Saccharomyces cerevisiae S288C: one gene and its partner. The protein of the gene in region 2 interacts with the protein of the main gene of each other region in a biochemical or structural test. Each region holds a gene or a part of one and is shown on either strand. Other genes may lie near its edges.

Region 1 (5,907 bases), on a different chromosome or scaffold from region 2:
TTTTTTCAGTCTCCGATTTTTTAACATCATCATCATCATCGTCATCATTGTCATCTCCAAATAAATCATCTAGTTCTGCGTCTTCTTCTTGTTCCTCTTCTTTAGTATCATCATTTCCATTGACTTCCTTGACATTATCATCTTGAGAGCGGCTTGTTTCCTCATTGCTTGTACTATTGGTGGTAACGCCGACGTTATTGCTGATTTGCTCCTTCTGTGGTTGATCCTGTGGGCTTTCAGATGACATCTTAATTATAGTCCAGTATATCTAATTGGATTACTTTGATTGGACGCACCTAGTTTACGCAACCTATCTACTTAACGACTTTCTTCAGCTTTCGTATTCACTTCTATGAGCTTGTTCTTTTTTTTTTTGTTTTTTCGTTTTTCTTTACGTAGCAGATAGTCACCCGTAACGATTGAATATGGCAAAGCTTTTTACATAATAATGGTACTTATGGCAATAGTGACATTTTACATAAACTCTTCATTGACTAAGACTACTTTAGAATTCTTTTCAATGGCTCAATATCACCTTCTTGTCCTTGTTTGACATATACTAGGAAATATGGAGTTGCAGTGTTACCCTCATTGAAATTGAAGACCTCCTCTTCCTGGACCTCACTGATGGTTTCATCATTGTACTTCCTCCAAATTCCATTGCGATTTCTGTCCTTGATATATATCCAATAGTGACCATAACTGGCCTCGCCGCGATGAATAAAAACCGAAAACAGTGAGTAACCATATTCCTTGAAATCGTCAAATTGATGGCTTATTTTCTCTTCCAAACTGTTGATATCATTGTATAATTTCATCAATTCATTATCGATATTTTGAACGTTGTTTCTCAGCGTCTTTATCACATCATTAGCAGCCTCAATTTTTAAAGGAGTTTTCTTTATGGTATCCGATTCCAATAGCTTGATACTCTCCAAAAATGCATCCTTCCTTGTAAGCCCTGAATCATCACGACTCAAAAGCTCTCTTTGTCTATTTTTCATTACCTTCAACTTTTGCTTCATTTCTTCTGTTTCTTTCTTTTTTGCCAACAATAAAGGGTTCTCTGTATCCGCGTATCTGTCCATGTAAATAACTTCTTTGAATGGTAAGGGCTCAATGGATTTAAACGGCATTAATCTTTCACGATCGTAATAAACTCTTTGGATTTGTACCTGCAAAATAGTAGGAAAAGTTGTAACAGCAACGGTACGTATAACATCACCATACTCTTCCATTGTCAGATATTCGTCTTTAAAATAAGAATCAAACGCATCATAAATATCTTTAGGATGATCGCCAATATTTATCAGTAACGATAGGAATCTTTCAACTTTCGTACGGACTTTATTTGTTGCGGACAAAGGAACAATACTTTGTTTAGTAGTACCATAAAATAGTTGCTTAACCAAGTCATATTGCTCGTTGTCTTCATCATATCGGATAGGCTCTGAACCGCTTTCTATCTGAAATAACACGTTTCCTATGCATTCAGTAACATCTTGTTGCCTACCCATTTCCAAAGCATTTTCTAATTGATCAGAACTGATTTTTGCCACACGCGTAGGTGAAGTTAATCCTGTTGTATCTTCGTTCTCACTTACTTCAGCATCATTCGATTCATTTTTTTTTCTGTTCGCATCTGTACCAACATCGCCATTAAGGCCATCTTCCATTTCTAAATCAATCAGGCTTGTATCCTTTATTTTTGTAGTAAATGCGTCATCCGTTGTTTCCTTCTTTGAATCCGAAAGAACTCCTGTTTGATCAACTACTTTATTGCCTTCCACTTCAAATTCTACTTCAACATTACTTGGAGCAAATGCCAAATATGCTAGCTCTTTTGAGGGTGTTACACATCTTTCTCTTGTATGAACCATCGCATAGAAAAGGTTGCGAAGTTGGTATATGAATTGAATAGATCTTTCCACTTCGCCTCTACTAATTTCTCTTCCACCAATTCTTCTAATATGCCCACTATTAGAGAGGTGGTCATTGAAATTTTCTACCGTTTTTTGATATTCCAATACATATCTTCTTAGTGGCGCAATGGAAAAGTAATATTGTAATAAAGAATTTAGGTAACAGGTGTTCCCGATATTATTAATGCCAGTTGGCCAATTTTCTGGCGGCAAGGAATTTGGATCTATCGTACCAGTTAGTAAGAAGTTGGTGATTAAAGTTGAATTTCTTTCTATACTGATTTTGGTCAATGCTGCCCTCAAAATAAGAAATTGGTCAGGCTCATAAACGTTTTCATCAAACCACTTTTGTTTAAAGATTTTCAAAATGGTTTCGTCAGAGGCATTTTCATTCACTTGAAGAAGCTTCAATGCCTCTTGGTAATCAAGCTTCTCTGGACCATAATAGTTGGAAAACTGTGGGCATTCCTCTGTTAAAAAATTGAACAAATCAAGGCTTCTTTTACTGATAGCAATGGTGTAAAGTGCTCTATCACAATCCAACTTTAATCCGGGAGAGTCGTTAATCTTGACCGAATATGCAGTTTTTATAATGTCTTCATCAACAGACTCGTCAATTGAAAGTGTGTCGTATGCCTGGGATAAAGCTCTGTAGGGCTCATGATCGACGTAAAATTTTAGTTTGTCAGATTTGGTATATTTGGCCAACAATCTTAGAGCATTTTTCAAATTTGTTAGGTGATTAGAGGTTACTTGGCTCTTATTTGATGTTTCATATTTGTAAATAGATAGCAAAGTCGCCTCATTTAATTCGGAGATGTTACACTCTTTAGGGTTAATTTTAAACATTAACAAAGCATTTTCTAGAGCTTCTTGGCCTATAATGTCCTGTTTTCCACAGTAAGCAATCAATTGATATGCCCCCTTCCTATTTGCAATGTATGTCAGTGCGTCAAAATACAGCCCAATATTTTCAGGATCCAAAGAAGACAAAGATTCGTAGTTTCTGATTATATCTCTATCGGTATAATAATGCGAAACGGAAAGATTAATAAAATGAGGTTCTGCGTCCAAAGGCGAATGAGTTTGCTCATTGGAATTTAATAGAATCCTTGCTCTGGATTCTCCCAATAAATGGAACCAAGGTAGTGTTGAGAAAGAAGTTTGTAATGAAGACATTCCCTTTACGCTTTTCGTATTTTTCAAGGGAGAATTAGGTGCCAGTAATGAGGTAGATAGTTGACCCCAAAATATCAGTTGTAAACACTTCCTCACAAACGATTCTCGAATTTTTCTTGTCTCCAAATCGTTTACATAGTCCACCATATCTGGAGGGACGTATTCAGTAAATATCTCATTAGTTTCCTCATCGATTTCTGAGCTTGCTTGAAATCCATACTTGGACGTTAACCATTCAGGATTCAGGTGAGTGTTAAGGGCCAAATTTCCAGAATCAATTGTCTTTGTAGGTTCCGCTTTACTTTTCCTCGTCAAAGGCCCTTTAAAAATTTTAAAAAGTGTGTAAAAACAGTCAACTTGAGATGGCGTCTCGCTTTTATCTAGTGATTCATTTTTTACACACATAGCATTGTATCTCTTCTTAATTGCGTCGGCAGTAAAACTCTCATGCTCTTCAGGTGAATTAAACTCGGGTTTAAAAATTTCAATCAAGATCAGTTTGTTAGTATCATCAGAAACGTAAATACCGTAATCCAACAAATTAGGATCGGAAGAATCAAAAGTCGAAAGGTCTACTCGATCGTATTCGTGCAAATGATCTAGTGAGTGGAATTGAGTAACACCGACATGCTTCTTCAACCGCTCCAGTTCTTGGCGGACTTTTACGCTAACCTTAAGATGATAAATAGGAATTTTAACAATATCATCAAAAGTTGAAATTTGCTGTTCTGCCAGTGATGGATTAAAGATGACCGCCTGAAATACATGTATTTTATTATATTTTGGGCATGAAATGGAATCATACTCGGATTTTGTTTGAAAAACCACTTGATCAGTTAATGAACCCAAGCAGTTAGGGCGAATACTACTTCTGAAAGTTGAGTAAGAAAGCATAGACTCTTTTAAAATACCCCTCGATTGCAGGCCCTTTTGCATGACCTTCGGGTCTGTAGAATTGAGAAAAATAGTATCGCAAAGTATATCGTCCAAAAGTCTGTCAGAAGTCTTCAGTGGTAGGTTGGTGGCAATATCTGGATACAGTAAGTGTTTTCCATCGTCAACATCTCCAGGGGTAGACTGCTGGTTTATACTTGTCCCGTATAATGGGAGGTCTTCTATAACAGACCCATTTCTGTCAGCATTTTCTTTATCCTGGTTTAGTAGTTGATTATGATGGTTCTCAATTGCTTTTTGAAGTTCATTATCTTCGTTCGGCATTTCCTTATACCTTCTTAACCTTGAACAAAAGCTTTCTTTTTAATTACCACTTTATTATTAGCAGTGGCCCCGTTTTTATGCAATGTTCTTCCAATGGCAAGCCGCTTGTTTTTTTCAAGCTATATGTACTATAGTTTTGCTCTAATTAACTGTTACTCTTGTTAAAGATCCAGTTTGTACTCACCCTTAGACTATGAACCCATACCCCATTTACATAATTATAGACAGTGTATCTATTCCTGTCATATTGGTCATATAGCGTTAAAATGCGTAAGGATGATACATAATTTTATACATGATAGTTTAATTAGGACATTTATCAAACCGTTTTCCTTTCAATTCTCCTTTTCTGGCATAACGCGACTGATGTATGCCACTTTCTGGTGGTTAAATTCTTTCGGCACTCCATATAGCTACTCTGCAAATCGTTTTAATACCTTCAGTGATAACTGTATATGGAACTGCCATATACGAATCATGCTTGATAGCGGTGTCTAGATGCTCTAGCTCGTCATCCCTGAACTGTTGGATAGTAGAAGTTAAGGATTTGATTTCCTCACTTGGACCCTTTGTTCCATCTGTTCTTTCTAAATTGAATTGATTGGCCAAGTTTCGCAATTGGCCATTGTAGTGCCCTCCGATTACTGTCTCGACAGCTTCAGTACAAGCCATAGCTGCTTCTGGAGAAATCAATGCGGTACCAGCCCCCATTGCAAAGGCTCCTGCCTTCCACAAAGGCGTTAATAAGGAAGGCCTGACTCTCCTTTTCAATTGCAAATTGTTAAAAGTATTATGATGATGTATCTCCTGGTCCCATATGTGCTTTAGCACAGGTTTCAAGTGAGGGTACCTATGAGCCAACACGAAGTACTGGCCAGCGTAGATGTAGTCTGCACCTAATTCGCCAGCTTGATCTACACGAATAACACGGTCCAAAAATGCAGCCTGAGCATCTGATAAATTCTGACACTTGGGAGCATGCTCAGGTTTTTCGGTGTGTTTTGCTGATGTATGTTCTGTTATCTTTAAAGATGATAAGACGGAAAAGCCTCTGCTGGCAGGTTTGAAAACTGAAACACGGGATAACATAATTTCTATGTATCTCTCCCGTATACGTGATATCTTTATTCCTTGAATTGGTTTGGAGGAGAAGATAACGACGTTTTCACAAGAATAAAACTCTCGTCTGTAAAAATAAGGAAACATGTTTTATAGATTTCTATTGTTTTTTTTCCTGAAAATCCCGTATATGAAAAATTATACAGTTGCTTAAAAGTTAGGGAAATATAGACAGAGTACGTACAAAGGATTACTGCATTCAAGACATTATGTTAGATCCATCATCTAGCACATCTCTCCAATCTTTCAGTTTGTACTGCATGTTTTTGGGATGATATTGGGGGTAGAATGTCTCAATGACCTTCAATAATTCGTCATGAAAAATTTTGTACCCTTTTCCGGAAAAGTGCAGTCCATCTGTTAGCAGTTGTTGCCAAGCATCACCACCTTCCTGTTGAAACGCCTTATTCAAAGCCACGAAGGGAACTTTTTCCTCATTGGCTAGTTTTGCTAAGGCATCGGAATAAAT
Region 2 (9,226 bases):
CTAACGTGATTAGGTTCATTTCGTTTGAATTTTCATTTTTTACTTTTAACAAAAGCGCCGAACAGGATTCTAGAAATTAAACAAAACCAACTAAACTATAAAAACGGATATTTAGTTCGGTATTGAAATGCTAAAGAATAAAGAAAAGACGACCTTTCTAAGTTATTTTTACTAAGTGTTCCATGAAAGTAAATAATAAGCCAAACTTTTACAAGAATAGCATAAAAATACATACTCATTATACATAATGCAATATTAAAACCTTTATTTTATCCGCTGTTAAGGATTAGCTTCAGCATACGGTGTTCCCCTGCACTCAGTTCTTCTGCATCGCTTAAACCTTCTTCTTCCATAATCACCGGGCCACTCCATGGTCTTTCTTCTATCTTGTCATCATTTATTATAAAATCTCTGGATAGCAACTTCTTAATATCTACATGTTCTATGAGCCCAATTAAATTTGTTACTTGCTCTTTTGCCTTTGATGAGACAGTTTGGAGTATTCTTGATGCACCGGGTAGAGTTTCCAAAACCTCAAAAAAATGCATAATTTCCTCCTTAAAAATTTGGACAGTATCAAAATCACAATGTTTACACTTTTCTAAAATAACCAATAATTTAGGTTCAGTAACCAATCTTTCAAGAGCCTTGAATTGTTCAGATTTTATAAAGATATCCAGTACATTGATTTTTAAAAGATATTTTTGGGGCGATTTAACTATATCAAAAACCTTCTTTCGGGATCTGGACAAGCTGTTTGAAGCTTGTGTTCTCTTTTTCACCAAAGTAGTCAGCTCTTTGAGCCGGTACAAGTCTTCGAGCTGATCATTGGCAAAATCTATTCTTGTTTGCACTTGTTCCTCGGTTAAGGACCCCAATGAATTATTTTCAAAACAGGCAGTTAATGGGGTACCTCCTGTAAGCTCCCTTTTCATTGACCAATATTTGCAAATATCAAATGCGCCTGCTGGTGGGTTAGCTAAGCCAAAAAAATCAACGACCTTTTGCAATATTTCAGCAAAAACATGTGGTGCTACCGGCGTTTGATTAGGTGTTTTCCAAATTGTTTTGTTGAATTTTGAATTTGTCCTATCATTAGCTTCATTATGCTGAGGAGTTTCGGTTTGTAATGTAGAGAGTAGAGAGAAGTATTTTCTAGCTTTATTAATACCTTCTATACTCGTTTGCCATCCTCTAGGTGCATGCTTGTGGCAGAAACTTTCGACTGAATACTTTTGGGAGAATTGATTAGAGGCCAATTCTTGAATAGTGCATTTCCCTTTACTCATGTAGAGACCAGCTCGACGGGCACACGTGACATGATATGCTGTAAAACAGTTTCTTTGAAAGCACTGAATGCAAGCACCCATCTTCTTTTTACAGATGTAGCAGTTAAGTTTCCATCGTGATACGCTAACATTTTGAACGCCTTCTATAGGTTCCATATAATGTAAGTTTGAAAAGTATAGCTCTGGAAGCCATAGAGCACAAATGTTATGTACCCAAGAACCGGTGTCTGTTTGTTTGAATGCACCTGTATGACTTGGACACATTAGACAAGTGGCAAAGTTATTTTTTGAGATCATACATCGTCTACATAACCATTTTCCTTCCGGGATAAAAATTATACCGTAACATTCTTGATGCACAGCAATATCGCATCCATCACAAAAGACAATTGTATTCAGATTGTCACTGTCTGTGCCTAAACAAACTGCACACGCCTGGTCCATCGATAAACCTGTTCCATCATCAGAACCATATAGCTCATAATTCTTACAGTCCCTTAGAATATTATGCCTAGCAATCAGACTATTCGTTGAGGGTATATGTTTTTCAATATGGAACCATTCAGTTTCTAGTGTAGTCATTAAAATTTCAAATATTTCGTGAGACATTTGATCTTTAAAATACCTCTTATTAAGGTAGTGCAAATATAATTCATCCTGTTCATCCATGTCATACTGAGGCTTGAAATTAACAAGATTGGGTGAAATACTAGCGAATTTCTGAATTGCACTCTTTGTACTCGTCGAAATAGTAATATTCGGGGCTTCTTTACTAGAGAATTTGGTGAAGTAGGGTGCCTCCACACCATCGAATTCTTTTTGTTGTTGTTTATAACTCTTCCTATTTCTTACTTTGTTTATATGATAGTACCTGGATATAAAGCTCTCATTAAATCTAACGCAGTATGGATTTTTCTTACCTTTTAACTCATTCGTAGTTATTTTACATTTTTGAAATTCCACTTCGTTCTTCTTCAGTACTAGTGGTTCAGTGGTGACTCTCCCCTTGAAAATCAATTCTTTAGTTTGTACGCTTTTGACACTCCCGATCTCTCTGTTATTCCGATTTGAAATATCATCTGAGTCAGTATCGGTGCTGTTATCCTTTGTTTCCACTAAGGGAACGATGAACGGCAGTAAAGTATCGGCATTAAGATCAGGATAAAAATCTTGGAAGTGCTTTTCTTCACGTAGTTTAGGCCCATCATCTAATGATCCCCTATTCATTAGGTGCTAAGTCGTACAACGCCCTTGTCAAAGTTATTTGAATAAAAAAACCTAATACGTTGAAAAACTGCACGGCTTTCAAACTTTCAAACTTGTTTATTATTATCGTCTTCCATTTTTTTCGGTGCTACAATTTGCGATGAGCCGAAAGACATATATTCTACGTATATTACACGAAAAAAAAAGTTAGTTCGGACAGGTACATATTTGTACAAATGTATATATATATGTGTGTGTGAGGTTTATAAAAAAAGTGAAGATATTAATATTTATGATGAAATCTCGTCATATCTTGGTGGTTCAGGACCCGGATGAATTATTGGACCAGGCCCCTCTGTATCATTATCATTATTATCATTATCATTATAATTGTAGTCGGTATTGGTAAAAGTGCGCGGACTATACCGTGGTGTGAATATATTATTGTTAAAGTTCATTGTGACAATGTCTCTTTTAAATAGCGTGGCCGCGGTCTCCTGTTCAAAGATATCCTGCGAAAGCAAACCGTCCATATTGCTATAGGCGTTATTTTCATTCCCCATTTGTAGCGCATAATCTTCAGTCCTCAAGGGGCGTGCTTGTTGCTCTTGCTGGTCCCGGATTGGGGCACCGTTAGACGAGTCCGAAACAGCGGTTGTTTTTGGATGTAAGGTTGACAGGTAACCATTTGCGAGGGAAGTCGACCTAGACAAATTCAACTGTTGCATGGAAATGTCATCGGGATAATAAGATACAGAAGATCTTGGTGATGCTGAAACTGATGTTGCCTCTTCAAAAGTTGGTGGCAGGACTTTAGAAGATTCAGTGGTGGCCATGTCATAAGTCGGTAAGTCTATATTTGAAGTGTTACAAAGGTCAGAAATCAAATAAATTGGTGTATCAACAATTACTTCATAATGCCTTATGATTTTTGAGCTACCACTATCAGTTTTGCTAACCCTCAAGACGATTTCTAATTTATGAGAACATTGGATATTCTTAAAATGCATACTGTCCAAATATAAACCGCGTCTTGGTTTATTCAACCGTGTGTAGTGCTGAATGGGAACATTCGAGCTAGTTTGCAAAGATGTATTCGAGTTTCCATTTGTATCATTGACCTCATTATGATTCTTGTCTTGCGGTATTTTATGAACTGTCTTGGAAGCCCTGTTAGGGCGACCCACTAGAAAGCCCAATACATTGCCGTTATTAGAGGTGTTCTCACTCTGAGTTGGATCTTTTATTGGGTCGAAAAGATCGATACCATATGGTGGTAGACTTGCAGCTTTGGTAGCGTCCACTTCACAATATTTTGGAAATTTTAACTTCGTTTTAACAGTAAAGGACTCAGAAAATGGGATATCTTTGTTGTTTTCTTTTGATGAAGTGTAGGCTAATAAGTTATCATCAACTGTATTGGTGACAACTTCCTCTCTAATAGAAGGCCCACTAGTACATTTAGAGGCCACCTCAAATAGAGGCAAGCTTCTGTCCTTCTTTTTTCTCACTAAATATCTCATATGATAGGGATTGCAAGGATCTGAAGCCAATGGATCCAACTGGTCAAAATCATATTGATAGTCTTTACTCCTGTAGGAGATTTTTTCTCTACAACTAACACGAATTCTCTTGACACTAAGACTTTTTACTAGAGGTGCCACTTTAATTGTGATTGGAATTTCACCATTCAAGGGCACATACTTTTGGGCGAATGAAATTTCATAAGAAAGACAATTCTCCCAAACCTTGTTAATGTAAAGTGGCTTATTTGCTGTAGTGACAGAGATTTCTGGCGGAGTTCTCACCAAATTAAGCGGGTACTGTAAATTTATAGTGTCTTCAGAATCATGTTGCATCGCTAAACCACTAGAAGATGCGCCATTATTATCTGACCTTCCGTTAGAATTATTCCTTTTTAAGCGCCCCTTCGCACTTTTTAACCATGAGGAGGGAAATGCGATTTTTCCAGTAGAATTTTTGTCGTTATTGTAGGTTTCTCCTTCTATGGTGTCATCAATTTGAGAATATTCATAAGAATCAGAACAGGAATATGAACGCAGTTTTTGAGGAGAAGAGATAGAAGAAGAACGTGGCCGTGATGCAACCAACTGTGTATGTTCATCCTTCAATTTTGTCGCTAATCTTAAGCTGTAGGATACCCTCGCTGATGGGTAGTAAAGCGATTCAGGAATACGACTGGCAAGCACTATGGGGATAGTAAAGACATAAACACCAGCATTTAACTTGTTCGTAGAATTCGAGGCATTTAAATTGTTTAATATATTTTCCCTAAGAACTGCTTTATTCGAGAAAGAACGGCGTTTCCTCATCGATAATTTCTGGAGCACTTTCAATTTCCTGTTATTGGAATGATTTTCAACGATATCAAGAGGAGACTTTGCGCCTTGCGGAATGAAAAGATTAAAGTTGTCTGCATTTAAGGTCCAGTCCAAAGAACCTATATTATAGCATTCCTCGTTAACATTCTTGGTAGGGGGAAGACCATTGAACCACACCACTCTCACGTTAGAAGTGAGTTCTACTTTAATATCAGAAAGGGTAGTTGATTTATTCAGGGAAAATATCAATGCAAAGCTGAATGAAGGCATTTGGCTATTCCAAGCATTAGGAAGAGAACGCGAGTGAGAATTAGGATGTCTGTTTCTCGCGGGAGAATTGTTATTATTCATAGGGTTGTTATTGCCACTCGCAACAAAGGAATCCGCATCTGTTGTGTTATTGTTCGAGGCCGGAGAAGCACGATCAGAATTGCTTGTATCCATAGCATTACCTGTCCTTGCTGTATTAGAGGGGCTGGTTCGCTGTGTATGTAACGGAAATAGTGATAAATCATTGTTTTCATTCAAAGTGTCCATCGTAGGACATGAAGGGAGGAAATCACTTTCTGCAGTGTTAGTGGACCCGACAGGCTGTGTTCGCGCCTGATTTAAAGAACCATGAATCAGTGATAGATACTCTGTTTCATCACTTTTTGTAGTTGGCAAGAAAACTGATTCTGCACTTGTTGCAATGGAAATTTCCAGCACACTTTTCTTATTATATAACGGTGTTTGCTTGATGAAACCACGATCCGCTAAATAGTCCGATAGCACCCTATTAATAAACATAGTGCTATTACTAGCATGATGTGTTATGAATGACCTAACAATATCATTATTACTAGATATTTGTTTTGCCGCGACTGGATCTGACTCTCTCCTCAACCCGGTGTCTTGCCTTGTGTGTAACTGGTCTATGGTGGTATACGGAACAGAATTCCTGTGCCTATCCGGTTGGTAAGATCCCGTAATATTGTAAGCCTTAGTGCCAACATCTGAAGGAAAACTGTTCCCCCTACACATGGCAGTTGATGCGGTAGAATAGTTACGGTTCATCAAATTGGAATAATCGTCCATACTAGATGTTGGACTATTACCAGTTCCAAAAAAAGAAGAAAGGGCGTCCCTAACACTAGATGACCTCCTTCTACCACTAAATCCTGACGATTTTTGTGGCGAGAGGGAGGTAGAAATCATCTCTCTGTTACGGGCTAGCCTTTGCAATATATCACCCTCGTCGCCTGCAGAAACGTTCTGGACGACATCTCTCTTGTTGCCGTTGCTCGCAATTGCTATTGGGACAGTAGATTGCATGATTGACTTTGCTTACTAGTCTGACTGATTACCCTTGGAGAGCCATCATAATAAATAAAACAGAGAAACGACGATATATATAGTCCAAACCGTGACAACTATGCAGGGAACGGGAGACGGGATTCAATAAGCCGGGGGTCTTTTCCATGTGATACCGAGTAAGGCATAGCCATCATTTGGCAGATCTACAAAATAAAGAAGCCCAGGGTTTGGCCGTGCAGAATCGCTGCGCCAACCCCGGATTTTGCATTTCTTATTCCACTAGGGCTGGTCGTGGGGTACGTGGGGAGCGGTATCCCTTAAAATGAAAAAAAAGAAACTATACCACCCACGCATCCAAACGACCGGGCGAGCGGGTAATAGATGGTTCTATTCTTTAGCCGCCGAAGCTTTCTTCTCTATATACATGTAAATGTATATAATTCCGGAAGTGTGGTCCTGCTACGAACAACACAAACCGATTAATTGATAATGGAAAGAGGAATGAGGTTGGGACAAGTAATACCAACTGGGGCTACAGGAAGGTGGTGAAAGAGGGTATCACATATAAGAACAAACCGTTTATTCGATTATTTAAATCTATTTTAGGCCACGAAGGTAGAGAGGTTGCGAGTGAAAACAACTAACTTTCTTTACGATATTTCTCAATTGGAACTGACAGCGTTAAAGTCCATATTTTGCTACTGATTGCTTTTCTTTGGTGTTATCTACCTTAAGAGAAAAAAAATTCAAATGAAGATTACCCGACTCTGAGTTTTGACGTCCTTAGCTGTTTGTATTCACTGAATTTAGTGGGCTTGGCCATATGAGAATTACAACTAAATCATACTTTTTCGAGATTTTATACTGCTAATATTGGAGAAGAAATATTGACCATCTTGATTTAGCAACGAGAAAGACCTGAACACCATAATGGGCTCTTCGTTGAGAAGCTTTATCAAAGACGTTCGTGGTGCCAAAACACTGGCAGATGAAAGGGCAATTATAACGAAACAATCTGCTAAAATTAGGACAAAATTGAGAGATGACCATCTACCACATGAAAAAAGGCGAGTAAATATCCAGAAACTTCTGTATCTATACATTCTAGGGGAAAAGACACATTTCGGTCAGGTGGAGTCTATCAATTTAATTGCTTCTGACGATTTTGTCGATAAAAGATTAGGCTATCTGGCCGCAACTTTATTGTTGGACGAATCTGAAGATTTATTGACACTCTTAACGAACATGTTGAACAACGATTTGCATCATCCCAACAAATATGCAGTGTCACTTGCACTAACCTCATTAGGCTTTTTGAGCTCCCCTGAATTAGCCAGAGATTTATACCCAGACGTCGAAAATATCATCAAAAATTCAAGAGACCCTTTCCTCTTGAAAAAAGCGCTTCAATGTGCTGCCAAACTAATTTTCAAAGACGTTTCACTTTTAGAAATCTTCAACATCGAAGACATTACTAAGATATTGTCTAGTCATTCAATATGTACTCACGGTGTACTTTTAGGCGTTACGAAAATCATACAATCTATTTTGTTAATTGGATTGAACAGAAAAAAAGATGAGGATGAAGATGAAGACGGTATTGATTACAGCAATGACATCTTGTCTCCATTATCTTTACTTTTGCGTGATTTTTTCATTCGTTTGGAAAATATGAATTCTAAAAATATTGAACCTGGATATGATGTCCAAGGTATTTGTGACCCATTTCTGCAGTGTGAAATAATTTACACTTTAAAACTATACTTTCAAGTTGGTGAGCTCTTAAATTCGAACAATGTTTTGGACTACAAAGATAATTTCTGCGATTTATTGACTCGTATTGCGACGAATACGGATTCAACGAAAAACAGCGGACAGGCCATTCTTTATGAGACCGTGAAGACGATCTTTTCGTTGGATTTGAACCAGCCTCTACGTGTCCTTGGTATTAACATCTTGGCCAAGTTTCTTGCAGGAAAAGATAATAATACTAAATACGTTTCATTAAACACCTTATTAAAAGTTGTTCCCCAAGAGCCTACCGCAGTACAAAGGCATAGAAAATTCATTTCTCATTGTCTGCAGGATACCGATGTGTCGATCCGCATGAGAGCGTTAGAGTTGAGCTTCGCCATCTTGGACGATTCAAATTTAGTGGAATTGGTTAACGAATTGATGAAATTTTTGGCAAAACAGGATGAAGATTCAAAAGATCTCATAATATACACTATAGATCACTTAATTGACACTTTTGATACCCGCGTTGTCAAAGATGAAAGCTGGAAATTAGATGTTTTCTTTAATATCTTAAAATTAGTGGGATCGTTTATCAACTATGAAAAAATTAATGATATTCTAATCATAATAAATAATACGAGCCAGTTATCCGACAAATCTGAATTTTTACGGAAAATGCTGACAATTTCACTAAATGGAACATCAGCGGAGATTTCCGAGGAAAATATTGGTTGGCAGTTGGTTTTGATTTGGTGCATTGGCGAATATGGCGATTTAGTACTCAACGAGGGCAATAAAAATGGTGCAGACATAATCAATGAGTCATCTATTACTGATTACTTACTAACTTTGCAAGAACTCTACACAGCAACGAATCTGAAGATAATCAATTACATTTTAACAGCAGCATTAAAATTATCTGTGAGGTTCCATGACGCGAAAAATATTGAAAAACTAAGACAACTGATATTGAGCTACACGGATTCCACTGATTTATCACTGCAAATGAAAAGCAATCAATACGAGATATTTTTCAATCAGTCAATTTCTGTGAAGAAGATCATTTTAGAAACAATGCCTAAATTTGAAAAAATTACCGAGGAACAGGATAATGGAAAAGCTCTATCGAAAAACCTTATCTCCAACGAACCAGTTGATCTGCTGTCAGATTTATTGGGTGAGGATAGCAAGGCTGAAAGCAAGGCTTCTACTGGTGACAATGTGAAACCAATTGACATATTAGAAGAGATTTTTGGAGAGAAGAATGACATTGCTCAGGTGCCCAAAAATGCGAACAAGGAAGAATCAATCAATCATTCGTCGGCAGTGGAGGCAAACTCAGGTGTCACCTTACCA

What was found. Proteins that work in one complex are often made in the same cells at the same time.
Region 1: of the proteins of CSR2 (region 2) and UBP2, one has a biochemical effect on the other in vitro, tested with the Saccharomyces cerevisiae proteins (one study listed by BioGRID).

Annotation. Positions count from the first base shown.
Region 1 is NC_001147.6:554,324-560,230, forward strand, and holds UBP2 (ubiquitin-specific protease UBP2), read right to left. Parts: upstream 4,320-5,907; coding exon 501-4,319; downstream 1-500. Other genes in the region: Paf1-complex subunit LEO1, read right to left, coding at 1-247; putative monooxygenase CAT5, read right to left, coding at 4,707-5,408; IAH1 (isoamyl acetate-hydrolyzing esterase), read right to left, coding at 5,638-5,907. UniProt on the Saccharomyces cerevisiae protein: Has an ATP-independent isopeptidase activity, cleaving at the C-terminus of the ubiquitin moiety in natural or engineered linear fusion proteins, irrespective of their size or the presence of an N-terminal extension to ubiquitin.
Region 2 is NC_001148.4:624,805-634,030, reverse strand, and holds CSR2 (Csr2p), read right to left. Parts: upstream 6,152-9,226; coding exon 2,786-6,151; downstream 1-2,785. Other genes in the region: NTO1 (Nto1p), read right to left, coding at 270-2,516; APL4 (AP-1 complex subunit gamma), read left to right, coding at 7,064-9,226. UniProt on the Saccharomyces cerevisiae protein: Transcription factor involved in the regulation of fermentation and aerobic oxidation. Acts as a repressor of CYC1, which is involved in electron flow through the mitochondria under aerobic condition.